7 linked regions of the Sus scrofa genome follow. The protein of the gene in region 4 interacts with the protein of the main gene of each other region in a pairwise test. Links are inferred from orthologs where the notes say so. Each region holds a gene or a part of one and is shown on either strand. Other genes may lie near its edges.

What was found.
Region 1: the proteins of NDEL1 (region 4) and MLLT10 interact in a two-hybrid assay, tested with the Homo sapiens proteins (2 studies listed by BioGRID and IntAct). The link is inferred for Sus scrofa from reciprocal best matches to the Homo sapiens genes NDEL1 and MLLT10.
Region 2: the proteins of NDEL1 (region 4) and CEP170 interact in a two-hybrid assay, tested with the Homo sapiens proteins (2 studies listed by BioGRID and IntAct). The link is inferred for Sus scrofa from reciprocal best matches to the Homo sapiens genes NDEL1 and CEP170.
Region 3: the proteins of NDEL1 (region 4) and CEP63 interact in a two-hybrid assay, tested with the Homo sapiens proteins (2 studies listed by BioGRID and IntAct). The link is inferred for Sus scrofa from reciprocal best matches to the Homo sapiens genes NDEL1 and CEP63.
Region 5: the proteins of NDEL1 (region 4) and TRAF3IP3 interact in binary tests that used the Homo sapiens proteins (3 or more experiments, as listed by UniProt). The two-hybrid records come from large-scale screens. The link is inferred for Sus scrofa from reciprocal best matches to the Homo sapiens genes NDEL1 and TRAF3IP3.
Region 6: the proteins of NDEL1 (region 4) and CCSER2 interact in binary tests that used the Homo sapiens proteins (3 or more experiments, as listed by UniProt). The link is inferred for Sus scrofa from reciprocal best matches to the Homo sapiens genes NDEL1 and CCSER2.
Region 7: the proteins of NDEL1 (region 4) and PKP2 interact in binary tests that used the Homo sapiens proteins (3 or more experiments, as listed by UniProt). The link is inferred for Sus scrofa from reciprocal best matches to the Homo sapiens genes NDEL1 and PKP2.

Annotation. Positions count from the first base shown.
Region 1 is NC_010452.4:53,084,850-53,088,349, forward strand, and holds part of MLLT10 (protein AF-10), read right to left. Parts: intron 810-3,500; coding exon 655-809; intron 1-654. UniProt on the Homo sapiens protein: Probably involved in transcriptional regulation. In vitro or as fusion protein with KMT2A/MLL1 has transactivation activity. Binds to cruciform DNA.
Region 2 is NC_010452.4:16,188,348-16,192,624, forward strand, and holds the start of CEP170 (centrosomal protein of 170 kDa), read right to left. Parts: upstream 2,801-4,277; 5' UTR 2,520-2,800; intron 1-2,519. Other genes in the region: SDCCAG8 (serologically defined colon cancer antigen 8), read left to right, coding at 3,634-3,700.
Region 3 is NC_010455.5:75,703,541-75,707,040, forward strand, and holds part of CEP63 (centrosomal protein of 63 kDa), read left to right. Parts: intron 1-810; coding exon 811-1,090; intron 1,091-3,054; coding exon 3,055-3,213; 3' UTR 3,214-3,500. UniProt on the Homo sapiens protein: Required for normal spindle assembly.
Region 4 is NC_010454.4:53,611,804-53,615,303, reverse strand, and holds part of NDEL1 (nuclear distribution protein nudE-like 1), read right to left. Parts: intron 2,880-3,500; 5' UTR 2,868-2,879; coding exon 2,782-2,867; intron 105-2,781; coding exon 1-104. UniProt on the Homo sapiens protein: Required for organization of the cellular microtubule array and microtubule anchoring at the centrosome. May regulate microtubule organization at least in part by targeting the microtubule severing protein KATNA1 to the centrosome.
Region 5 is NC_010451.4:133,211,409-133,215,660, reverse strand, and holds the start of TRAF3IP3 (TRAF3-interacting JNK-activating modulator), read left to right. Parts: upstream 1-1,452; 5' UTR 1,453-1,674; intron 1,675-4,252. UniProt on the Homo sapiens protein: Adapter protein that plays essential roles in both innate and adaptive immunity. Plays a crucial role in the regulation of thymocyte development.
Region 6 is NC_010456.5:85,613,630-85,617,129, forward strand, and holds part of CCSER2 (serine-rich coiled-coil domain-containing protein 2), read left to right. Parts: intron 1-2,862; coding exon 2,863-2,994; intron 2,995-3,500. UniProt on the Homo sapiens protein: Microtubule-binding protein which might play a role in microtubule bundling.
Region 7 is NC_010447.5:41,423,527-41,427,486, forward strand, and holds the start of PKP2 (plakophilin-2), read left to right. Parts: upstream 1-1,160; 5' UTR 1,161-1,383; coding exon 1,384-1,606; intron 1,607-3,960. UniProt on the Homo sapiens protein: A component of desmosome cell-cell junctions which are required for positive regulation of cellular adhesion.

The sequences.
Region 1 (3,500 bases), on a different chromosome or scaffold from region 4:
GTATGTGTAATATATACGATATAACTTAGCAAGTAAATGACAGAGTGTATATACATATAAATTATATGTGTAATTTATTATTATTCTTTCTCATCCTAATTACAAAATAGAGTTGGCCATACCTAAGGCATTTTAAAAAATAAATTTTCCAGGTGAGCAAATAAGCTAAAAGAAGCTATAACTCATGTATTTTGGTAAAATTTAAAAACTGATTAAAACAAAGGACAATAGAGAAACAAAGTATAATGTTCAATAATTATAAACAGTAGCAAGAGCCAGTGAAGTCTACGAGCCAGGCAATGTTCTTTACATCTTTGACGTCGTTCAACTCTCAAAACAACACTGTTATATAGGTACATGATTATTCCCACTCTACACCTGGAAAACTAAAGCACACTGACTTTAAGAAACTTGCCCAAGAGCACAGTGTTAACAACAGGTAAAAACAGGATTCCAGTTCGAGCAGTAAAACTTGCAGCATTTGTTCTATTAAGCCAATACATCACACTCTCTCACCGTATTACACAAAACGTGTATCAATGTTTCAATGCTACTCTTAATGAAGTGTGATTCTACATCTATCCACCTATCTGCTTTTTCATTCATCCATCCGTCTACTGATCTTTCTTTAAAAGACAAGAAGAGAATACTTACTGTCACTAGGGGTGCCCTGTTCTAGTAAAAACTGTTGTCCTTCACTCCACTGCCTCTCCAGAAGCTGCTCTATGCTGGCTGCTACTGGAGGCAGGTTTTCCAAACCGCTGTTGCCCGGTTGATCATAGCGGATCTGTAAGCTGCTTACCGGGGATCTGTTGGAAACATTAATCCTCAGGTTAAACAGAAGGAAGACCCTTTAAAGGAGGTGCATTCACATTTCTCATCTTATACTGACCCTTCACCTGTACAAGTTTTCTAGCACCTGGCTGCCTATGCTAGAACAATAAAACCATAACCAACCCTAAAATTTAGTAATTACCATCCTTTTTCCTCAAATGGTAAAAATCAAGGGATTTATTTTATTTATTTATTTACTTATTGTCTTTTTAGGGCCACACCCAAGGCATATGGAGGTTCCCAAGCTAGGGGTCGAACTAGAGCTGTCACTGCTGGCCTACGCCACAGCCACAGCCACAGCCACACCAGATCAGAGCAGCTTCTGCAACCTACACCACAGCTCACAGCAACGCTGGATCCTTAACCCACTGAGCGGGGCCAGGGATCAAACCTGCGTCCTCATGGATACTAGTCAGATTCGTTTCTGCTGAGCCACGACGGGAACTCCTCAAGGGAATCCTGGCCATACTCAATAATTAAAAATGACTAGAAAATATAAACACATCACCAATAATCTGAAATGGGCTGTAAAGTAACTTGCTTCGGCTTTATAAGACAAAAGGGAGAAAGACAAAATTAGAAAGATTTACACTGCATAATTATAATTATGTAGAGAGTATTTTAACTTACAACCACAAAATATCTAATATCAGTACAAGGAATATTTAACAATTTTGAAGGAATCTTTTGTTATAAAATAAAAAATATTTATTTTCAAGTATTTTCAGTAGTAGGGAACATCATCAAGACAAAGCAATTTTTATTTGAGCCCTTTACACAAATTTTTTCTAAAATGTCTTAGATTGGTACTTGAAATAACAACTCTTTCAAAACAAAAACTGCTTACATTAAGATGAACACTGTATTTTCTCTCATCCACTCTTTGTTATAAATTAGTAAATGTGGCAATTTTTGGTCTCCAGCCTCCGCACTAACCTAATACATTCGTAAAGGGCTTCAGAGTTTCCAAAGTGTTTCCACATAATTATCTCCTATGATCTTTACCACAAGCCTAGTGAGAAGTCAAAACCTGCCTTGCTGGCTCCATTTCTATCTGAGGAAACGAGATGGGGCATTAATGACTTGTCCAAAGACATGAGGCTGCTAAGTGACAGAGCTGGGTGAGCACTCTGCCATGGCCCTAACACACTTCTCCGCAAAAATCTCTTTAAATAAGTTAAACAAATGAGGCTTTTTATTCCATATGTAAACATCGTGTGCTACATATAGTGTATGTGCTGCATCCTTTTCCAAAGAGTACATTATTGTCAGGATAATTTAGGCCATTACAGTTCAGGCTGATTTTTAAAGAGAAATATAAAGACGGAAATATGTGCTAAAAATAGGTCAGTGCCATTTAGTGTGTTAAATCCCATTCAGCTAATGAAACACAAAGAACTATATACATAATACAAAATAGCACTAAGGAACCTTGAGTAATTTCTGGGTAGCTTGTATGATATTAAGGGGAACACAGAGCTGCTTTCTCCACTAAACATGAGCCAAAAAACCCATAAACTTTCTTCTTTCAAAAAAACAATACAACAGCACAGAGGTAACAGAGCACAAATTACATATTGGTCAGATGGTGTTATCTTTGCGTACTTCGTATTCCTAGTTTTAAAAGAAGAATATTTAATTTTCTGTAGGTTTAAATTAGGAAAAATAATAATAGTATTATTTTTCATTCACCTAGGAACGGTACAGGAAAGTCACTACTGACACACCACTAGCAAATAGCAAAATTAAAGGTTACTGGACAAATTGCTCTAATGTTAAAGACATTCTCGCAGTTCCTGTCGTGGTGCAGTGGTTAACGAATCCAACTAGGAACCATGAGGTTGCAGGTTCGGTCCCTGGCCTTGCTCAGTGGGTTAAGGATCCGGCGTTGCCGTGAGCTGTGGTATAGGTTGCAGACGCAGCTCGATCCTGCGTTGCTGCGGCTCTGGCATAGGCCAGGGGCTACAGCTCCAATTCGACCGCTAGCCTGGGAACCTCCATATGCCGCGGGAGCAGCCCAAAGAAATAGCAAAAAGACAAAAAAAAAAAAAAAAAAGACATTCCCAAAGGTACCAGCAACAGAGCAACACTGATATTCATGGCAGTCACCACATAAAATTTTTAATTTTTAATATAATTTTTAAATTCCCAAAGTTGAAAACAGATTCTTTTTTGTTGTTGTTGTCTTTTTACCTTTTCTAGGGCCACTTCCCACGGCATATGGAGGTTCCCAGGCTAGGGGTCGAAGTGGAGCTGTAGCTGCCGGCCTATGCCAGAGCCACAGCAACGTGGGATTCGAGCTGTGTCTGCAACCTACACCGTAGCTCACAGCAATGCTGGATCCTTAACCCACTGAGCAAGGCCAGGGATTGAACCTGCAACTTTATGGTTCCTAGTTGGATTCGTTAATAACCACTGCGCCACGACGGGAACTCCAAAAACAGATTCTTGAATGGGCTTCATTCTCTTTCTGCTCCATTCTCACCCAATCTAATACCATGCTTGAGGCAGTTTACAAAATTAGAAGACAGAAAATAAACTAAAAAAAGGTATAGAAGTTGAGAGTGAAATAAGATTAATAAAAAGATAGGAGTTCCTGTCTTGGTACAGCAGAAACAAATCTGACTAGGAACCATGAGGTTGTGAGTTCGATTCCTGGCTTCGCT
Region 2 (4,277 bases), on a different chromosome or scaffold from region 4:
ATCACTTAAGCACAGAGTTTTTTAAAAGTGTTTTGATATTTACATTAACAGGCATAATGTATGATAATTTTACAATATAAATTTCACTTCTAACACTAAATTGGAAAATATGCAGATGGTTATTTATTTCCATACAAAGTCATTTTAGAACATCATGAAATTTAACAGTAAGACAAATTTCAAGTTTAATATAATTCCACATGGTGAATTTAATTACAGATTACTTTTTAAGTAAGTTGAAATGTAAGCGATATACTAATTCTTTTGTTTTGCTTTGGCTCACTCGCAGCACATGGAAGATCCCAGGCCAGGGATCAAAATTTCACCTCAGGAGAGAACCTGAACCATAGCAGTGACAAGGCCAGATCCTTAACCCACTGGGCCATAAGAGAAGTCCATGATATACTAATTTTTTTAAAAAGTCTATTAAAGTGCAATGTAGAATTAAAGGATTAAAAAGTATAAGACAACAAATAAGCAATTTATGGCAAACTCAATTTCAACAAAAAAGCATACATTTAATTAAAAGTTCAACTTGAGTGTTCTCCTTAAAAAGTAAATTAAGCTGAAAATAATAAAATTCATTAACTGAAGAAAAACAAACCTCATAGGTTCTTGTTATGTGGCAATTTGATTTTTAAGAGTTTATATATAGTTGATCATACTATAAAATACAATATAAGACAACAGTACTAAAATACGGTTACTAATAAGAAGTAGGGGGAAAATTCCAACAGCTTTTGTTTTTAAGAAAAGCCCACTTAGGGTATCTTTTTCTATATCCTTAAGTTAATACATAAAACTATAGTTCTACATCATTAGTATTATTATCTTTACTTCAAAAGAAAAAGACTAGACTGCTACAACGGAGCTGTCAATGAACCTGACTGTCACAGACAACTCAAAGAGTCTGTAGAGAAGCTTTCCCTAAAAGCTGGGGGACTAGGGGAGACAGCTGGGAGCTCACATTGCAGAGACGTTGGTTTTATTTGACTCTGGCTTTCATGAGTATTTTGGCTGGACACACAAGTCAGTTCACTTTCCAAGTTTTACGTCTTCCTCTTGTCTCTGTTAAGTGCTTTTAGACTCTTCAGCTTTAAAACACCAAAATTCTACAAGATCTACAAAGTTAAGAAAAAGTAAAAGCAGCACTGGTTTTACTTTTTAAAAAATAATGGCAGAAAAATACAAAATGGTTTGTAACTTGCAATGTAATAGTTCCAGAACTGAATTCCTAAACCGTTGCAGCCTACCCAGCCAGGGTTATATCAGTGCAGACCTGGATACTGTATTTATAATATAACTGTCTCCTCTCAAATCAGTCCTCCACCTGCTCCTCCCCATTCTCCTTCAATCTCTCTTCTGTTTGTTTTAACCCCAGCAAATGGTTGTATGCATTGTAAGCTTAATAATCAAATCATTTTAAGAGATGCGTTTTCAATCAAGTGTATCACCTACTTTACCACATTTCTCCCAAGTGGGTGAATTTTCATTAAGAGAATAAAAATATCAGTTCAAAAAGTCAGAAAAAGAAATGTACCAGGCCTATTTTTTGTTTTGCATGCTTAAAAAACAAAACGGAAAGATGTTTCCTAACCTCCTCCCTTAGGAACACGAATGCGTTACCCACCCAATAAAAAAACAATTCCGCCGGTTCATTTTCCTGCTACACAACAGCTTCGTCGTCAAGGCCCTTCCTAGTCCATTCTTCATCGTCATCTAGTAATTTTATATTGATCACCTTGGCAAGGCTTGGACAGGCACTGTCCTTGTCTTCCAGAAGCTTTACATTCTCCAAATAAATAAAAACTCTGCTACACACTAAAAAACAAAGATTCTATGACTCGGGATACAAATCCCACATCTTCCCGCCCTGTGTTAGGCAGCTGCTAATTTTTCCTTCCCTTGCATAAAATGAAGGGACACATACCAAAGACCACATTTGAATCTCAGGACAATGAAGTCGACAGGAAGCCACTTTCTCCTCCCCCGGTTTACTACCAAGCTACAGCCTGCGCGGGTGCAGTCGCCTGGCGGGGTGCGTGACACCACGTCTTCTACGCCCTCCCACCGCGTCCAAAAGGCTCCTCGCCGGACCCCCCAAATCACCCCACACCCCCAAAACAACCACACAATAAGGATCGACACCGAGCTGCTCGGACCGGGAAATATCCCTTCACCAGCGGCAGCGCAGCCATTCCCTCCACTGCTCCGCCCGCACCCCTGCACACTGCTTGGGCGGAGCGGCTGCACAAAGCCGGGAGAGCCCAGACGACTCAATACGTGGACACAAGCGGGGAAGCCGGGCCGCAGGACTGGGGGACGCGGGGGGGGAGGGGAGGGGCGGCCCCGCCGGGTCCCGGGTCCGGGGCGGGGGCAGCGCGCGGAGCCTACGGGAAGCGCCCCTCGCCGCCCAGCCCGCACCCCGCCCGCCGCGGGCCGCGCCCGAGCCCCGGCTGCAAACCGGAGGAGCAGGATGTGGGAAGACGGCGGCGACGGCATCAGAGTGCATCACTTACCCCTCACTGCTGAGAGGCACCGGACCGGGGGGCGGGGCGCGCCGCGTCCCGTGAGTCTCTCGCCAGCTTCCTCCCCCACCCCGTCGTCGTCGTCTTCGTCGTCGCCGCCGCCGCCGCGATCGAGCTCCTGGCCCCTCCGCGCCGCTGGGCAATAACGTTATTCCACACACGCTCCGCACATAGCGGTAACGGCAAGGAGCGGCCGCCCAGTGCGCAGGCGCCAGGGGAGAGGGCGAAGAGCCCGGCCCTACCCCTGCTCCGGCCCAGTCCCGGCGAACTTCTACTGCGCAGGCGCCAAGCACAGACAATGAAAAGGGGTTGTGTGGGGGGTCTCACCCACAGGCCTCGCCAGCTGCCGACTGCGCAGGCGTACACCAAAGACCTGCTTCAACAATGAGGAGGACTGGGCTTTAGCTGGGACCGCAACCCGTAAGGACTACATTTCCCAGCGGGCAGTGCGTCAACTCCTCCAAACTGAGGTCGGGTGGCCAGCTGGGTGTGCTAAAATTTGTAGCGTCAGCCGCTTTCACAATTTAGGCTGTTTGGGAGATTCAGAGCTTCTTTTTCCTGAGAATTTATTTGGCGGTGTTGGCAAAAGTTGTGGCTGAAGAGTGTAGAATTTATTTGCGTTCTTGAGACGCCTCAAGGGTCAACTGCATTCTAGCGAACTTAAAAGAATCAAGGCGTTCAGTGAGTGCTTTCTGTCAGATGGTCCAAACACACGATGGGATGGAGGCAGGACCAAGACAGGCAGCGCTACAGAAATGGGCGGAGCCTCCAAACGGTCTCTTGGCGACCAGATCTGGCAGCCAAACTGCTGAAGCGTGAGCTTGGAGCGCGTTGCCCTCTGGGAATTGTAGTTTGTTTGGGAGGGCGCCTGGGAACTTGAGACAGTAATCCCGGAACACGAGGACTACAATTTCCGAGGTCCACCACAAGGGCCCGTGGGTGGGAAGAGGCCCGGCTGGCTGCGTCTGGGATTCCGCGCTCCGGGTTGACAGCCGCGGCAGGAAGCGGGTGGGCGCCTGTGGGGCGCTGGGGCCTCTTATTCTCGGAGAGGAGAACCCTGGACACTACCCCACGCAACTCCCGTCTCTGAGCTCCGAGTGTGTGCATGGCGAAATCTTCGGAGAACTCTACCCTGGAGGAGATTCTGGGGCAGTATCAACGGAGTCTCCGGGGTGAGTTGCTCCGAACCTTTGCCCTAACCCCTTAATACCAGGGTCTCGTGGACGGGAGCTGACCAGGTGCATTTCCTAACGGCTTGGTTCGGCCCAAGCCAGAGTGCAGAGGAAGAAGCTGGATGTTGCTGTGATCTTTGAGGGAAGGCTAAATAGTTATTACGGTTAAGCAGCATCGCTTCCCTTGATTCCCATAGTTCCCATAGTTACCTGAACCAACTCCCTGATCTTGTCTTGGGCATCTTTTTCACCCGACGCCCGCAAAATCTCTAGGACGCTTCTATGAGTGTCGCCCACTTCCCCTACATCTCTCTTTTTAATCCAGTACATTTCTGATGCGCTCTTTTTACACATTCGAATTATAGTATGCTGGGTTGGATGTGATTTATTGGACAAGGAAAAAACACACTAATAATTATTTTAGTCACAACAGCTTCTATTTAGCGGCCCAGGCTATTTACACACATTAAATCACTTAAAACTTAACAACAGTCTTATGAGTGACCCTCTTCTACACCTGGGGACCTGGTGCAAGGAGGTTAAATTAGGCCAAAGCCGACCCAGCTGGTTAGTGGCA
Region 3 (3,500 bases), on a different chromosome or scaffold from region 4:
ATTTATGGAAATTAAATCTTCATCACAAGACTCTCTACTTAATTCTGAAGTACATTGTGCACAAGTAAAGCTACTATTAGGTAAAAAAATGCAGGGAGTTACATAGCACTTTCATTCAAGCCTCGGTTTTAGACTCTCTGGATGTAGGTATAAACAGCAGCCTTTCCCCCGAGCCTTTTCATGCCCCTCCCACCTCTCCAACCCCACTAGTCCTATAAGAAGTAGAAGTTGACTTTTTATAAACAGCTTCTTTTGTATTTTTGGTCAACTAATGATAGACTGTTACCTAAGAAAACAGCATTCAATGAAATACCACCTGGCTTCAGCTCTTACTGTGTGGCTTCCATAGTTTCCTACCAAGAGTCTTTACTGAAACCCTCACCTCCACTCCCACCTCTGCCCCCCAAATGAGGATAGGTGCCTCTGTGTGCACAGTGCTTCCCTCTGTCCCAGCACCAACCACACTGTTTGTCATCCTTGCTGTATTGTAAGTGTGTGGGGGCGTGGGGCTTGGATATTTGAGGCCCGAGTGATAGATAGAACACCTAGCCTGAGGAACTGCTCATTTTATAAATTATAGCCTTCTCTGCAGTCTGGTCTTGTTTGTTTTTTTTTTTCCGGGCCAGATGTCAAACATGCACCACAGCAGCGACCCCAGCAATAGCAGTGACAACGCCAGATCCATAACCCACTACACTGCCAGGGAACTCCTTGGCCCTGTATTTTTTGCGAACTTCCCACAAGTCTGTTTTAAATGAGAGGAAAGTTGCTACGATGTTTATCTGTTTTGTTTTCTAATCTGCTGTTCAGGCCAGCCCATGGCCAGCACAGGCAGGATGGGATGCAGACTGAGCACTACAAGGCAGGTCTTCACTCTCCAAGAGGACAAGCATCGGATAGCATAGAGCCCCTGTCCAGGGGCCTCAGCCCCGCGAGAAGTCAGATCAGCCCTTGCTGCTCCACCATGTCTCTGCCGTCTAACTTTCTCTCCAAAACTCACTCTCTGCCTTCAGTGCTAGATACAAATGAAACCAATTTTTCTGACACTATCTCTGAGAGTATAAATGACCAAGAAGACTTTATATCTTCGGTATGGAAACTTTTTAATCTTACTAGTTTAATTAGTTTACTTGGTTTCATTTTTTTATTTTAAAGCAGAGATTTTGTTTTGTTTCGTTTTGTTTTTCCCCCTTGCTGCTGGTTTTCTATCTTCACTACCTTTGTTATTCTCATATATTTTTGTCTTAATGTTTTGCTTGTGGAAGACATAGTCAGCTATGATTTCCTATGCATCTTAGGAAATATAAGTGTTAGGTATTCATTTCTTATTAGCCCGAATTGGAAATTCCCTTCCTGTCTTTTTCAGAGAGGATCAATTTTGTGTTGTAATGATGGTTCAAGGAATACCTCTGCCTGCTGAGATAGCCCTGAGGCATAGACAGTGGGGGAGGGAGAAGGGAACAAATGGAAAGGGGTGGGTGGAGGTGGAGGAAGGACTCAGATCTGACGTATCTGGAACATGGACGGGGTGCCACACAGTGGTGGCCCTGTGGGCAGAGGCAGCCCTTTGACCCAGGCTGTCCCCTTTTCTTGCAGCTGCTGCGAGGACTCCACGCCACCATCTCCCTTTCCTTCTGTGCTGGAACCTTCGCCTCTGGCCATTCATTCCCATCACCCTCCCATGGTCCTGTCCCTGTGAAAGTTCTATGTTTTTGACTTTTAAATGTGCCAACAAATCCATGGGAAGGTTTTTTTTTAGCTGTCAAAATAAATCCCCGCTTCACTTGTATATAGTTCTAAAATCCAAAAAAAGTCCTGACAACTAACTATCTTCTTAAGTTTGTCAGCAAAACTTATTTGGCACTAAAACCTGACCTGGCCTAAACTGAATAGGTAATATGTATAGCCAGTGTTTATCCCACTTAGCATTTTACCTCAGAAATATCAATGTATTTGATTATGGATATTACCTGACTCCTCAAGAGTCATGGATTCTGTATTTATAAATTTGCCCCTACTTGCTAAACCATTTGTAATTCCTAAGCCATACTCATAAGCACTTCCACAGTCTTTCATAAACATGTGCAGAGCTGCACAAATTTGAGTCATCAGACTTGCTTGTTTCCAGCTGAAGTCAGTCAAGGCCATGCCCTTTTGTTTCAGCTCTTGTACTGAGATGCCCAGGGGATGGAGATGCTGGGGTGGGGGGCGCAGCACAGCAGAGTGCAAGAAGTTGGATGCTGGGGTTGAACAGGGTTTGAACCCTAACTCTGACATCTTTCGTGGGGTGGCCCTGGGCAAGTCACTAAACACTCTGCACCTTGTTTTCTTTTTTATAAAATAAAGAAAATAGACTCTTACCGGGATGAATTGTTTTTAGGAGTTAGGATTATAATCTGTGTGAAGTGTGAGAGCGTGTGTGTGTGTGTGTGTGTGCGTGTGTGTGTATTTCCCATAAGAGCAGTGTTTCGGTGTGCATTAATTCAGTATTTGAGGTGACTTCATACAAAATGACTACTGCAAATGAGGATCAACTGAATATGACACATGTGACCTTTCTAAAATCTAAATTCTGAAACCAGTGGTTTTAGCAAATTGGGGGCTGTGGATTGAAATTTTGGGGAAAGGAAAATATTGATTTTAACTGGTATCTAATTTATTATAAATAGATTTTCTGTGCTTTAAAATGAAAGTAACATTCAGATTTTAAAAGTCAGTTTGAAATAACAGGAATTAATATCTCTTCTGAGGTATAGAAAGATGTACAAGTCTAACTTGAGAAAGTCTTCAGACCAGTAATATATTTATATGACACTTTATATTTATACAACTTGTGTCAGGAAGGAAAGGGTGTGTGTTAACTTTTGCAGAACTTTTTTTTTTTTTTTTTTTTTTTTTTTTTTACTATTATTAGGATGAAAACAAATATCTCTTCAGAGGAAAATATTTTTTAAAACTCACCTTTTAATATTGCTAGTTAGGAAATATCATGAGTACTATGTCTTAGAAGTATACTATTCAACTTATGTATGTCAAAATGTGTTTCTTTTCAAGTGTCCCTTGCCTCTGTCTCCTCTTGGTTCAATTGCTACAAGATTTTTGGAAGAGGAGGAACTGAGGTCTCATCATATTCTCGAGCGCCTGGATGCCCATATTGAAGAACTAAAACGAGAGAGTGAAAAGACAGTGAAACAATTCACAGCCCAAAAGTAGCCTCCTAAAAAATCACAAACATGGAATAAAAATAAACACTGAGGAGTTACTGTCATCATGAAGTAGCGGCTCTTTGAAAGCATGAACGTATAAAAACCGTGAAGATGAGACTGCTGTGAGGAATCTGAGAAACTGATACTTAGCTCTGAGGTGTTTTCACTGCACTTGTTTGTTTGAAGGACATTTTCCAGCAGTAACTTGTAAATAAACCACTTTGCTAGACTTTTTTTCTCATATTAATATTTATTGTCATAAAATGAGACTTTCTCTTGCTGACTTAAGCGTGA
Region 4 (3,500 bases):
CTCTATTTCTTTGTTCAGCCTGTACTAATTGTGCCTCCAACTCTGCTTCTAATTCTCTGCTTCCTTCCTGGAATTCGACTAGCTCATCCCGAGCTTCCTGGAAGCTAATCAGAAACAAAGTGGGAAAGATCACTTATAGAAGGAATCATAAGAATCCTTGGGGAGTTCCCGTTGTGGCATGGCAGAAACGAATCTGACTAGTATCCATGAGGATGCGGGTTAGACCCCTGGCCTCACTCAGTGTGTCAGGCATCTGGCGCTGCCGTGAGCTGTGGTATAGGTTGCAGACACAGCTTGGATGCCTAGCCTGGAAACTTCTATATGCCGAGGGTGCAGCCCTAAAATGCAAAAAAAAGAATCATCTTAAAGAAGATGACTATGCATCAATTTAATAATTTTTGCCTGAACACGGTGTTACCATAAAATATGTTAAATAATAAAGACAATCTACTTTGCATCTCTTACTCTACATTCAGAGTTCAGTGAAAGTAAGTTATAAGCCTCAGGGTTCCCTCTGTGGAGCTGGTGGTTAAGAATCCAACCACAGCGGCTCAGGTCACTGCAGAGATAGGGGTTCACTCCCCAGCCCAGCACAGTGGGTTGAAGGTTCCCGACATCGCCACGGCTACAGCTCAGATTCAGTCCTTGCCTGGGAACTTCCATATGCCAAGGGTGCAGCCATAAAAATGTTTAAAAAGTAAAAGTCTCAAAAGGATTCGCATTTTATACACTCACCCCACCCTTCTTATTTAACGTATTACTATCCACAGATTAATATTTAGACATGCATTTTCATATAATTGGTTTCCTCTGTAATTCTATTCTTTAATTGTACGCATTTAAAAAATGTTATTCCAGGAGTTCCCGTCGTGGCGCAGTGGTTAACGAATCCGACTAGGAACCATGAGGTTGCGGGTTCGGTCCCTGCCCTTGCTCAGTGGGTTAACAATCCAGCGTTGCCGTGAGCTGTGGTGTAGGTTGCAGACGCGGCTCGGATCCCGCGTTGCTGTGGCTCTGGCGTAGGCCGGTGGCTACAGCTCCGATTAGACCCCTAGCCTGGGAACCTCCATATGCCTCGGAAGCGGCCCAAAGAAATAGCAAAAAGACAAAATAAATAAATATCCTGTGAACAGTAAAAGCGGCCCAAAGAAATAGCAAAAAAAAAAAAAAATGTTATTCTGGAGTTCCCATCGTGGCGCAGTGGTTAACGAATCCGACTAGGAACCATGAGGTTTCGGGTTCGGTCCCTGTCCTTGCTCAGTGGGTTAATGATCCGGCGGTGCTCTGAGCTGTGGTGTAGGTTGCAGATGCGGCTCAGATCCTGCATTGCTGTGGCTCTGGCGTAGGCCGGCGGCTACAGCTCTGATTAGACCCCTAGCCTGGGAACCTCCATATGCCGCGGAAGCGGCCCAAAGAAATAGCAAAAAGACAAAAAAAAAAAAAAAAAAAAAAAATGTTATTCTGGAGTTCCCGTCGTGGCTCAGTGGAAACGAATCTGACTAGGAGCCATGAGGTTGCAGGTTCAATCCCTCACCTCGATCAGTGGGTTAAAGATCCGGCACTGCTGTGAGCTGTGGTGAAGGTCGCAGACGCGGCTCAGATGTGGGATTGGCCGGCAGCAACGGCTACCATGAGACCCCTAGCCTGGGAACCTCCATATGCCTCAGATGCGGCCCTCAAAAGACATAAAATAAAAAATAAATAAATACATAAAAACGTTACTCTGAGAAGGGTTCCATAGGCTTCCTCAGCCTATTTAAGCAACTACAGCACAAGAGAAAGACTAACAACTCCTGCCATAGATTCACACCTTCCACACCCAATGGCAGACAGAGTAACTGGCTTCCACAGTGACCATGAAACTGCAGTAAAATGTTTACTGAGTCTTAGTAAACTGTCAACCAAGGCAGGAAAATGTATATATATATACGCACATATAAATGTGTGTACATATATATGTTTTAGAAAGATTACATTTTTAAAAGAAATTTAAGTTTCGGTGCTTTTAAAAAAAAAAAAAAAAGGTTATCTAAAAGGTTTCCCAGGCGTGGCTCAGTGGTAACAAACCCAACTAGTATCCATGAGGATGGGAGTCTGATCCCTGGCCTCTTTCAGTGAGTTAGGTATCTGGTGTTGCCACGAGCTGTGGTGTAGGTAGCAGACACAGCTCAGATCCTGAGTTGCTGAGCTGTGTCGTAGGCCTATAGCTACAGCTCCAATTGAATCCCTAGCCTAGGAACTTCCCATATGCCAAGGGTGAGGCCCTAAAATGCAGGGGGGGAAAAAAAAAGTTTCCCAGCTAACTGAAATAACTGAGATGTTTTAAAATGCTCCACATACCCCGAAGCTCTTGTCCCTCCCTCCAAGCTTTTCGCTGGCTCCAGACACTGCTAACACTGCGCTATGGAGGCCTAGACGGTCTCCACAAAAGACCAAAACGATGAGGCAGCATCAGTGCACACCGAGCAGACCAAAGATGGCCAAGCGTAGTACTAAGCATAAAAGAAGGTTAACTGCCAGAAGAAATCACAAATGACTGGCACTGTCCCTACCAGTAGGAACAAATGCTTCCTCACTAGTTTAATAATCCAAATAATGCAAGGATTTACAGCATTTTTTATTACTTAAATACAATGTTATGACTATTTCTAGAAATTCAATCCTAAATCTGCAATTCTATTTCTAATCCAAAATTTAGCTCTGTTTAAAAAAAAAAAAAGGACAAGCCAGAGACGACGTACTCAAGCCCTCGCCTGTGCCGAGGACGCTCCTCAACATTACCTTTGTTTATACTTCAAGGAAAGTTCCTTCCAATAAGCAGTTTCCTCCTTTAAACTTGAAAAATCTGGTATATCCTCACCATCCATGATCAAGAAAGCCTGTGAAATAGCAAAGACAAAAAAATTAACAGAGAACACAGGAATCTTAGTAAAAGAATAAAATCTGGGACAACACAAAATCTGCAGCATTTCGGAGGGAGTCAAACATAAAAGATTCTAAGAATGGTTAACTCTCTATTACAACAAACTCAGACACACAAATCACTTCACTATCCCACTCTCAGGGACCACAGCACCGCAGACGGGGTCAGGAGAGGAGATGAAAAAAGAAAAGAGTCACTGAAGCCACATGAAGCACCTGTGGTCACAGCACTAGGTTCTGGGGAGCTGGCCCCATACAGTCATCCTGCACCGGGCTCTAGCGGTTGGCTTACGGCCACTGATCTGAGAACCAGGTGACAGAAACACGTTTATTATCACAGTTGCCGTTACCGCATGCCCTTCTCTGGGGTACAATCGGTTCCAAACACCTGCTTGAAACATTTTATGCCTGGTGACCTTACTAGATCAGGCACCACATTCCCAATAATTTGCTATCATTACATTTCTAAAAATTTCTTGTTAATTATCTTTTAGGTCCCAAGCTGTCTCCATAAATGCACCAGTCCTCCAACTTCAATGTTCTTTCATCTCGGTTCTCCTCCCAAGGCGTTCACAGAG
Region 5 (4,252 bases), on a different chromosome or scaffold from region 4:
GTATGCCAACCTTATTAACTGTATTTTCCTCAGGACATAGTGCTAAGAGCTCAAGCTCTGATGTCAAGCAAACTTGCGTCACCTTGAGCTCACCTTTCCAAACCCCAGTTAAAGTAGATGTGGTAGCCCAGTGAATGCATAGCCCTGGGGAGTTCCCTGGTGGTCCAGTGGTTAGGATTTGGCACTTTTACCACTATGGCTTGCATCCAATCCCTAGCCTGGGAACTGAGATCCCACAATAAGCTGCTGGAAACTGCAGCCAAAAAAAAAAAAAAAAAAAAGAAGACTGCACAGCTCTAGAAGGGATTTCATTCTCTGTACACATTTCTGATTTTTAATGGAGCCCAAATAACCCTGGTCCCCGGGAACTCCTATTACAATCGTCTGTCCTCTCTTAGGCTCTAGGGTCCTGAACCCCCAGAGCCCTCTCACACTTCTGCGCCTATAACGGACTCTTATCCTGCCATCGTGGGCGCCCCGACCCCTCTGTCCTCCGCTCATTCTCATCTCCGAGTGTCGAGCTCCAGGCCCAGGCCCTTGCGCTCCGGTCCCTCATCCTGAGAGAATGTCGTCGGAGGGTCCGGCCCCGGCCCTTTGCCTGCCTCCTCCTTGTTCTTTGTCCCCCCAGAGAATGGAGGCGGTGCGGGCAACGGCCAAGGCTGCGCCGCGCTCCCCACACGCGCGTCGTTGTTACAGCAGTTATTTCAAAGGCTCACCACGTGCCTCACATGGGACGTCTGGGGCTTCATGGGAACCGTGTCAGTCACCCACTCAGACACCGAGGGGCCATTCAGACGCGGTGGATTGCACAAGGCCACACAGGGGCTCGGCCAGCTTGTCCTCGTCCGGCTCCTGGCCACCACGGGATCCTGAACTTCTTGGGGATTTCCTGCCTATAATATGTGTAAGTTTCCTTTTAAGGCACAAACAAATTCCTTTCCGTTTTCCCCCAGATTTCCTAGTTCAATGAAATACTTTTTTCAGCTTCTGCCCACTGTTGCTCCCTTTGCCCCCCAGCCCCCACCTGTCCCCTCGGCCGACTCCCGGCCCACTCCCTGAGAAAGGAGCGAATTCGGAGCTGGTCTCACGTCAGAAGTCTGGAAGACACCAGACTTTAGAAGAGCAAAGACCCTTCACTACAGCAGGACTGCAAAGAGGGAGCTAAAGGAAAGAGCAAATCCTCCCCAGAGAACGAGCTGATACACCTGAAAACCTACACAGGGGACACCTCTTCTGGGTCAAAAGGCATTTTTCTTCCCCACACAGAGACTACAAGGTTTGAGTCTGACCAGTGACCCATCCTGGTGTCATCCTGGAAAGGATTTTGACTCGAAATTGTCCAAGAGCGCAGACCGATCGAGTAGCAAGGGAGAGGGTGGCGGTGGTGCCCGGGGGTGGGAGGAGTCCCGAGCTCGGGCCTGTGAGCCTCAAGGGGTCAGGGGCCCCTCAGATCGCGCCAGCGAGCAGGAGAGGAACTGGGGTGAGCAAGTGCCGTGGCTGTGGCTGCTTCCTGTTTCAGCAAGGCAGCTGCGTAAAAGGCGAGAGAACCTCGAAGGGAAATGCTGAGGGGCCCAGAGCCACGGACTGAGATCACCCCACCCGAGGCCAGAGCCGAGGTCTGCCCGTAGCCGGGATGCTTTCCTGAGCTGCTGGCGCTGCAGCCGGGGACCCGAGGTAACGGACAAGGAGGAGGCATTTGCGTCCAGGCTGGGGGCCCCCGACGCTGGGTGGGGCAGAAGAGGCTCTGGCTGCCAGCCTCCCCGGGCTGTAAGGAGAGGCCCTGGAGTGGACGGTGTAGGTTAGGAGTGTGGGGCTGAGTAACCTGGAAAGTGCCCTGTGTTGGTCTCCAGGGGCACAGTGTCCGGGGCTCTCTGCTCCATCCATCGGATTACACTGGCGGTGAGGCAGTGACCTGGGGTTCAGGCTCCCCAGTGACGGGGCAGACATTTTACAGCTCCCTTCACAGCAGGGACCCAACAGCACGAAGCTGCCTTTGCAGCCGCTGGGCGCCAGCCCTCCTCTCCCAGCTCACACCGAGAGCTCTGGACTAGGCAGGCTAGTCCATTCATTCATGCAGGAGGCCATGCATCACACACACAGCCAGGAAGTAGAAGCAGAGACCTGGAAAGGCAGCGACAGAGAACTGTCAGGCGAGGACAGTGTCCTGATCCCCTGGCAGTGAGGACAGCCCCCATGCCCCATCCCCCAGCCAGTACCACGTCGTCCCAGGGCTGCAACTGGGCCCTGCCATGCCGCAAGAGCTGCCTGGGCAGTGGCCCAATGACCTTTTTTGAACCCCACAGGGGCCAGTTCCTTTTTTCCTACAGCCCATCTCGGTCAGTCAGCCGACCCACGTGGCATCTTGTGTTTAAGCAAATCAGGAAAGCTGAGTATGATCCCACTTAGCTGTGCCATGCCAAATCCCACCTGCTGTGAGGGCCTGGGGGTCTGGAAAGGCTCCCTTCTTGAAAGAGCCTTTTCTACTGCAACTCCCAGCCTGGGCAACAAGTGCCAATGTCTGTGCCCGGGAAGCAGGGCAGGGCAGCCATGTGTTCCAGCGAATCAGTGTAGGCACGGCCGGCACACTTTGCTCTCCACACAGCCCTCCCCTCTTCACAGTGGGAGGTTGAAGGATTCTTCACAATCAAGAGGCCTGCCTCCTCTACAGAGCCTGAGGGTGGCCTGGAACCAAACAGGGAGGCGACCCAGCACCCCACATCTTAAAGGTGGGATGCAGGCAGCCTGGACACCCGTCCTTCACCCCCCTCTCCTTTCCTTTCTGCTGGGCCTAATGTTGCTGGCAGGTGAGCCCAGACCAGAGGGGCCTTTCTCCCTGCAGCCCGCACCCAGAAGTCAGAGGAACAGAGCAGCAGTAAATATGATTTCAGCCCCGGGGCCAGCATCCCCTCCACGCGGTCAGCAGGACTCCTTCAAAGAGAGAGTGGTCGGGGGGCTGGAGGATGAGGCATTCTTGGTCCTAGAGTGCTGGTTTGCTTCGGACCCTTGTCTTATAGCACTGAGTCCTCAATATCCAAGATCGGTAGCACTGGGATAGTAAAAACCATACTATTATAAAAAGCTAATGTTTATTACATGCTACGGCCCAGAGGCTTGATGTGTATTTTTCTTTAATCCTCAGAACCTTGTGAGTTAGGCTGCCACTTTACAAGTGAGGAAACAGAGATGCAGAGACGTGTAATAGCTGGTTCAAAAGCATGTGGGTAGCCGCTGACAGAGCCAGGACAGGAGTCCCCAGAGTCTGAATCCAGGGTCGGGGTTCCCCGCTTCCCACATCTACAGCAGAGCAGCCGAGACATGGAGTGTACCTGCTTGTGCAGTCATTCCTGATTTAATCTGAATGAGCCTCTCCCATCCTTTCCTAAGTGTTTAAATGATGAAAGTAGCAGGTGGGAAGTGAGCAGGTGTAAGTGCAGGAGTGAGGAGAAAGCCTAAAGAAAGGGCAGGGGCACCAGCGGTGGACCAGGCACTGTCCATGTCACAGCCCCGCCGAGAGCAGAGGGTGGCCCTCTAAGCCTGGAGAGTCAGGTGCTGGAGAGCGGACGGGGCCTGACTGCATACGACCCCCGTCAGCGTGCGAGACTGCCTCACCCCTGGGCGGGCAGAAAGGGCACACGGGCTGCTACCTGTTGAGTCTGTTTGACCCATAAATAAACCCAAGGGGCCAGAGCCGGCAAATGCCTGCTGGTTGGTGAAGCTGAGACACCCTTCTCTGACCTACCCAGGAAGTGGGTTCCCCGAGTGGGGCACAAAGAGAAGCGGCAGCTGGAAGGGAGAGTCCTTCTTCCCTCATCAGTCTCTGGTCTGACCCCAGGGATCAGTGGAGGCAGGCGTCAGGGTTTCCTGGGCTCAGAATCCAGCTCAGCCAGGTCCAGCCCCAACTCAGCCAAGCTACCAAGGGTTCTAGGAGAATCAACACATTTGCAGAAGGGAGGGGAGAGAGAGGAGGGGGAGAAGGCAAGAGAGAGAATGGCACAGAGACAGGAGAGGGGATGAGATTTGGGCTAAATAGGGTAAGGCCCTGTTGAGGGGCAGCAAGTGGGGCCTCTACATCGAGCCTGGTTCCCTGGGGACTTCTGGTTACTGTTTTTTGTTTGCTTGCTTTTGTTTCACTTTCATTGGCAGCAGTCTCCTGCAGGTATAATCCAAGTGGGTGCTGGCTTCCAAGGACAATCTGCACCTCGGCTGAGGAAGGCAGACTTGGCCCCTAACAGGGAGGTGATTTAAAAAAAAA
Region 6 (3,500 bases), on a different chromosome or scaffold from region 4:
AAAAATTGGCAGAAGATAAAATACTTGCCATTTCCCAAAACAAATGACCACAGATTCCTTCTACACAGTGTATTTTGAGGGACTAGTGATTTGTTGATCTTCCACACTTGTTATTTTCATTGTGAAGAGAGAAATGTACAACATTCTTGGGGGTTGCTAATCTGACTGATTTAGCATAGAACTCCCCAGCAAGTGGACTGACACGCAATGGTTTGTTATGACTAATTATAGGTTAACCAGTTTATTAATCCCCTCAGGCTCTTGGGTGGCTGTGCAGGATTGGGACTTGCTAGATTTCTCAGAGCCCATTATGGGGATGGGTGGTAGAGAGAGGAACCTCATCCAAGATAGCCTTACTCCAGCAAACCATACAACAATTATTTTCTTTCAGTTCCTTAATTTTTAAAAGATTTGGATATACTAACCCCAGGGCCTTTTAATATATATGTATAAAAGTTCCTTATCTCTTTCTATGACTTCTTGAGTGTTGCTAGTTCCCTTTCCTTCTGTCCTTCAATTCTCATCTTTATTATAAGATTATGTCTTATCTACAACTCAGAGGACTGGTGGTTCAGAAACACTGATCTACTTTATCTATATTTTTGTCAGTAGTGCTTTTTCTTTTCACCTGATCCAAGCTTTCACTCTTTTCTCCCCAGACCTTCCCTTTTCCACTAAGCCATGTCAGATTTTCTCACGTCTTAACAAACCCACATCCTGGATCTCTTCACCTACATTCTCCTGCTTGTAACTTTTTCCTAAATGTACTAATTCTTCAGTAGCATTCTTACATAAAAGATTCTTATTTTCCAGTGACTCCAGTGCTTTACTGTTTAGAGGTGAAGTCTTTTTCTTCACTTTTCTTCGTCACTTCTAAATGAAATATTCTTAAGCCTCTTTCCTTTGACACTTAGGGCATTTGGCTGTACCAGCTCTTCCTTAATGGTCCCTGTCCCTATCTCAAAAATCTTACCCTTGGCTCCCTTTCCCTCTTCATTATAGGCTTTGTTACAACCCTGAGTGTAGCCTCCAGTGTTCATGCACATGATGCATTTAACCTTCTGCCTTCCTAGTTCCCTAGTATGTAAGATATGTCATCTGAGAGTAGAGATAGTTTTACTTTTTTCTTTCCAATCTGGATACTTTTCTTTTTTTCCTGCATAATTGCTATGGCTAGAATCTCCAGTACAATGTTGAATAGCAGGGATGAGAGCAGACATTTCTGTCTTGTTTCCAAAAGTAGGAACAACATTCAGTGTTTCACTGTTAAGTATGATATTAGCTGTGGATTTTCATAGATATCTTTATCAGGTTGAGGAAGTTCCCTCCTTTTCATATTTAATTGAGTGTGTTTTTTTAAAATCATGAAATAAGTATTAGATTTTGTCAAATGCTATTGCTATGTCTGTTCAGATAATCATTTTCCTTCCTTCCTTCTTCCTTCCTCCCTCCCTCCCTCCTTCCTCCTTTCCTTCCTTCCTTATGTGTTTTAGGGCCACATGTACAGCATGTGGAAGTTCCCAAGCTATAGGTTGAATCAGAGCTGCAGCTGCTGGCCTACCCCACAGTAACGTCAGTTCTGAGCCACATCTGTGACCTGTACCACAGCTCACAGCAGGGCGGTATCCTTAACCCACTGAGTGAGGCCAGGGATTGAGCCCTCACCTTCATGGATACTAGTTGGATTTGTTTCTGATGAGCCACAATGGGAACTCCTATCTTTTCATTCTCTTAATGTGGTACATGACATTGACTGATTGTCAGATGTGGAACCAACCTTGCATTTCTCAAATAAATCCCACTTGGTCATGGTGTTATATGTTACTCAATTCAATTTGCTGGTGTTTTGTTGAGGATTTTTCTGTATATAGTCATAATAAATATTGGTCAGTAGTTTTCTTGAGATGTCTGTGGTTTTTATATTATCACATAGATTGAATTGGGAAGTGTTTCTCTCATTTCTGTTTTTGGAAGAATTTGTGAAGGTTCTTGTTAAGTCTTCATTGAATGTTTTGTAGAATTCACCATTGAAGTTATTTGGGCCTAGGTTTTTCTTTGTGGCAAGTTTTTTGATTACTAATTTAATCTCTTAGATGTTCTACAGATAGCGGTTAGGTTTTGTTAGTTTGTAGTGTTGTTCAAGTGTTCTATTTCCTTCCTGATATTCTTTCTAGTTGCTCTGTCCATTAATGAGAAGACATTATTGAAGTTTTCAACTTCAGGAATTAACATTGTGGCTCAGTGGAAATGAAACTGACTAGTATCCATGAGGATGCAGGTTTGATCCCTGGCCTCACTCAGTGGGTTAATGATTCAGCATTGCCATGAGCTGTGGTGTAGGTCGCAGATGCAGCTTGGATCTGGCATTGCAGTGCCTGTGGCGTAAGCCAGTGACCATAGCTCTGATTTGATCCCTAGGCTGGGAACTTGCATATGCCGTGAGTACGCCTACCCCCCTCCCCCCCCAAAAAAAGAAAAGAAAACAATGGTGAAGTCTCCAAAGTCAGTATACCTTGTAACCAAGGTCTGATGACAACAAATTATCTTGGTTTGTGTTTATCTGGGATTTAGTTACTCTTTAACATTAAAGGATAGTTTTGCTGGATATAGAATTTTTGGTTAACAGTCTTTTGGGCTTTCTTTTAAACATTTTTTTACCCCTAAGCTTTCTAATGAAAAATTAGCTGTTAATCATACTTCTACATGATAAATCACTTTTTTCTTGCTGTGTTCAGGGTTCTTTATGTTTTCTTTAGCTTTCAACAGTTTAACTATGATGTTTGTTACTCATTTAGTTTATCATATTTTGGAGTTTGTTGAGCTGATGATTAGAAAATGATTTCCTTCAATGCTCTGAACCAGTAAATTTCCCAGCTTTTGCCAAAGGGGCTCTATGTGTGTGTCCAGGGATGCCTTCAACAACCTGATAAGCAGTTTGCAGCACTGCCTTGGCCTTCATTTCCTGCTTGCTCAGAGTCTCAAGGTCAGCCAAAGGTGAGAGATTAAGACCTTCTCAGGTATTTCCTTGGCATGCACACAGCCCTGTACATGTACATGGCCTTCTCTATGCCCAGGAGTATGTTAATGCTTTTCAAAGCCTTTCTTCAACATCTCATTCCTCAATTTTGCCTCTTCTGTTTCTTGGTGATCTTCTTGCTTGCCCCACTGGTATTGATATCTCAGTCAGCTGAGATTTTAAACAATTGCCACTGAATTTTTTTAATTTTTTAATTTTTTTTTTTTAATAAATGTACTAGAGATAAGACAGTTCCGACTGAGGGAACTCTGAATCAGGTCAAATAAAACAACTGCTGAGAATGGCCTTTTTCTAGGGAGGTGTCATTTAGGTCACATAGTATCAGTTCAGTACTTTTGGAGAGTTCTAAACCCAGTTTACCTCCTATCCCACATCCTAAAGATTGCTGAATTTCATAGCTACTGCAGTTGTAAAGTTATTTTCATTCAAGCCACCACAGGGCTAGGAAGATAGACAGGGAAAC
Region 7 (3,960 bases), on a different chromosome or scaffold from region 4:
ATTCCCTGTAAGGCCTTATACCTGTGTAGTAAGCGTGTGTGTAAAGATAGAAGGGTATGTCACAGGAAAACGGGGAATGGGGGAGTTGTGTTCCCCAGCCACGTCGAACTTGAATAAATGGGGTTCCGTAAATACCGAGTGATTTGAAGGAAAGTGGACATACAACCCGAAGCAATCAAAGGGAAGGCTATCTTACTTAATACTGGGGATAGATGTTTTTCTTTCTGCCTCTCAGGTCCAAAGCGGGGAAGAAGGACCAGTGGCTTAGGTTGTAAACCTTAAGGTTAAGGACTCTTTCTGTTGAGCATAGCTCTCAGCAGTCAACTAAATGTGAAACGTTTAAATAGCAAGGTAAGTATACCTTATGGAAGATAAGACTGAAAGAGCTCCACCAGCAGGACCCCTACACAGAGCCTACCATAAAGAGGGCTTAATCAACTCTAGAAGGACTGTTAAAGTATCACCTACTGAAAGTGTGCTCTTTCCCAGCACCTCTTATTGGAGTTTCTCTATGTGGGTGTGATCCTAAGAGAGGAGTGGGTGAGAAAGAGAGTGTGCTGGGTACAATTTGTGTATATGCAAGAGAATACCGAAACTCTCAATGAGGAATAACATATGTTTCTAGGAGTGCATCTGTGCAAAAAAGACACGGTCCCCGAAATTGTGCTAAGGGGGATAAAAACCCTATTTTAAAAAGTTTTTATTTTACACATGTCATCTTTTTGTCATATTTCCTCCTACTGTCTTGTCCGCCTGATCAAACAGCCCTTTCCCACCTCAGGTCCATGAAACATTTCGAACAGTCTGACAGCCTGACAAACCAGACAGACTACTCACTCGGGGATCCCAGAGGCAAACCTCGGCCCGAGAGCAGAAGTGACTCCAGGGCGCACCTGCCTGGAGGTCGTCCTTCGTCCATCCAGCGGAAATTACAAGGATTCGTAGGGCAGGGCCGAGGCCCGGCAAGGCATTGAGAGCCAGTAGTAGCAGGCCGGACCCGCAGGATCCAAGGTGACCTGGAGAGTGTGCACGACCAGGGGCGGACTGAGCCCTCTCCCGCTTCCCTGCGGTGAGTTCATCTCGCCAGGTGTCGGCGCGCGCGGCCGGCCTGCCCCCCACTCCCCAGCCGAGTGCGCCTGCCCGGTTGGAGCCGCGCCCAGTTCCCGGGTGAAGGCCGGGCGCCTGGCGCCCCAGGCCGCGCTCCCGGGAGCTCTGGCCTCTCACCGGCGGGGAGGCGGGGCCGGAGGAGGGGCTGGGACGGTGGGGTTGGGCCGGCGGGATTGGGCCGGCGGGGCGGGGTTCGCGCCCAGTGCCCGGGACTCCGCAGCAGCTTCCCCTGCAGGTCTCCAGCAGGCGAGCGGCTCGGTCGCCCTCTCCAGCCCCATGGCAGCCCCTGGCTCCCCGGCTGAGTGCGGCTACATCCGGACGGTCCTGGGCCAGCAGATCCTGGGGCAGCTGGACAGCTCCAGCCTGGCCCTGCCCTCTGAGGCCAAGCTGAAGCTGGCAGGAAGCAGCGGTCGCAGCGGCCAGGCGGTCAAGAGCCTCCGGATCCAGGAGCAGGTGCAGCAGACCCTGGCCCGGAAGGGCCGCAATTTCGTGGGCAACGGTGAGTAAAGCCCTGCCGCCTTCTGCATCGCTCTCACCGTGCCTTTTACCCATTCCCTACTCCTTCCTCACCCTCAGTGCCCAGTTGCTTGGACTCCCTTCTTACTGAAGGTGCGAGACCTGGTGTTCTGCCCACCTGTTGCTCGCCAGCCCATTGTACGACCTGTCGCGCCTTCAGACTCAGACCAGCTTACTTGGGGAAAGCATTCTTCTTTTTTAAAAATAACCTCTTACTCACCCTTGTCATCTATGTCTATTAAATGCATATGTATGTATGGAAAGAATTCAGTCCAAGATTTTCACCCCTCCCTTAACCTGCTTCCCTAAGCCCTCCACCCCCACCCCGGGGACTTCATCTGTAGGCTCTGAGAGTCTGTAAACACTTTGAAATTCTGTGCAGAAATGTGGTATGTTCATTTTTCTGGAAGAAAGTGCCTCTAGCTTTTATTTAAAATTTTAAAGGATCTATGACCCCCATAAATATTTTTTAAAAAGAAAACCTGAAAGTACTGGTTTTCTGCAAGCTGTATATTGGGATTGTGGTGCCTCGCCCAGGTACCTGGGGGCACTCCACCCAGTGTACGGAGCGAGTGGTTGATCTAGGAAATGAAAAGATTGGGTAGGAGGCTTTGGGCTGGGGAACAATCACACCACCCCGCGGATGAGGAGGAGGAGAAGAAAGGGGACTTTGGCCCCGCCAGCAGCAGCCCCTCCCGCCTCGCTGCGCCCTACCAACGCACTTGTAAGCACAGCGCTGGTATCTCCAAAAAAATTAAGCTTGGAGGTGAACGAGTTTGAAAAAATAGTAGTCCTTATATTAGGTGTTTATTTTTTCATTTTAAAAGTATTATAAGTTTATTGTGGAAAAGAGAAGGGGAAAGAAATTGAACAATTAAATTGGGTTTTTTGTTATTTCCTGCAGTGTTGAACTGTTTCTCTGGGAAGTTAACCTGGGCAATGGTAAATGTAGAGCCTATAAGGAAAAAGAAAAATGCTTGCAGACCAGATCAGAGAGTTAAAACAGCCGACCTTGGGAGGCTCTATTGTTTTCCCTTTGTGTAAAAGAATCAGGCAATCAAGACTTAATTACTTAAAGGGTAAAGAGAAGATATTTAATGGTTATAGTTGATGTACTTGTGTGCTTTCTATGTGCCAGGAATTGGACTGTATGATTTGCATTCATTGTGTTATTTACGTTTCTAGGGGAAAAAAAAAAAAAAAAAAAAAAAAGCTTGTGAGGTAGTCCTTTAATCCCCATCTCACAGATGAGGAAACTAAACAGTTAAGTGACACTCAAGTTCCCACAGATTTTAAGTAGCAACTGATAGTATTTATTTATTTATTTATTTTTTGTCTTTTGTCTTTTTTGTTGTTGTTGTTGTTATTGTTGCTATTTCTTGGGCCGCTCCCAGGGCATATGGAGGTTCCCAGGCTAGGGGTTGAATCGGAGCTGTAGCCACCGGCCTACGCCAGAGCCACAGCAACGCGGGATCCGAGCCACGTCTGCAACCTACACCACAGCTCACGGCAACGCCGGATCCTTAACCCACTGAGCAAGGGCAGGGACCGAACCCGAAACCTCATGGTTCCTAGTCGGATTCGTTAACCACTGCGCCACGCCGGGAACTCCAGCAACTGATAGTATTTAAACTCCCAAGCCTGATTTTGTAGCAACTGGTAGTATTTAAAATCCCAAGCCTGATTTTTTTTTTTTTTTTTTAATATGAGGGCCGCACCCTTGTTATATGGAAGTTCCTAGGCTAGGGGTAGAATCGAAGCTGCGCCTGCTGCCTATGCCAACAGCCACAAGCACACCAGATCCGAGCCACATCTGTGACCTACACCGAACCTTGCAGCAATTCCAGATCCTTTCCTATCACTGAGCCACAACGGGAATTCTGCAAGCCTGAATTTTTATTTATTTACTTACTTACTTACTTACTTTTGTCTTTTTCTAGAGCCAGCTCCCGCGCCATATGGAGGTTCCCAGGCTAGGGATCCAACCGGAGCTATAGCCGCCGGCCTACGCCAGAGCCACAGCAACCCGCGGGATCCGAGCCGCGTCTGCAACCTACACCACAGCTCCCGGCAGCGCCGGATCCTTAACCCACTGAGCAAGGCCAGGGATCGAACCTGCAACCTCATGGTTCCTAGTCAGATTCCTTAACCACTGCACCAGGATGGGAACTCCAAGCCTGAATTTTTAAACCACTCATCAGTTATATTGTTAAGCTTTTTGGTAATTAATATGAAATGGGATTTTTATTAGATCTTAAGCCCCTTATAGCCCCTTCCTATTTTCCTTTAAATAAAATTGAGATAGTTCTGAGAGATTGGTAAGGTCTCAATGACACA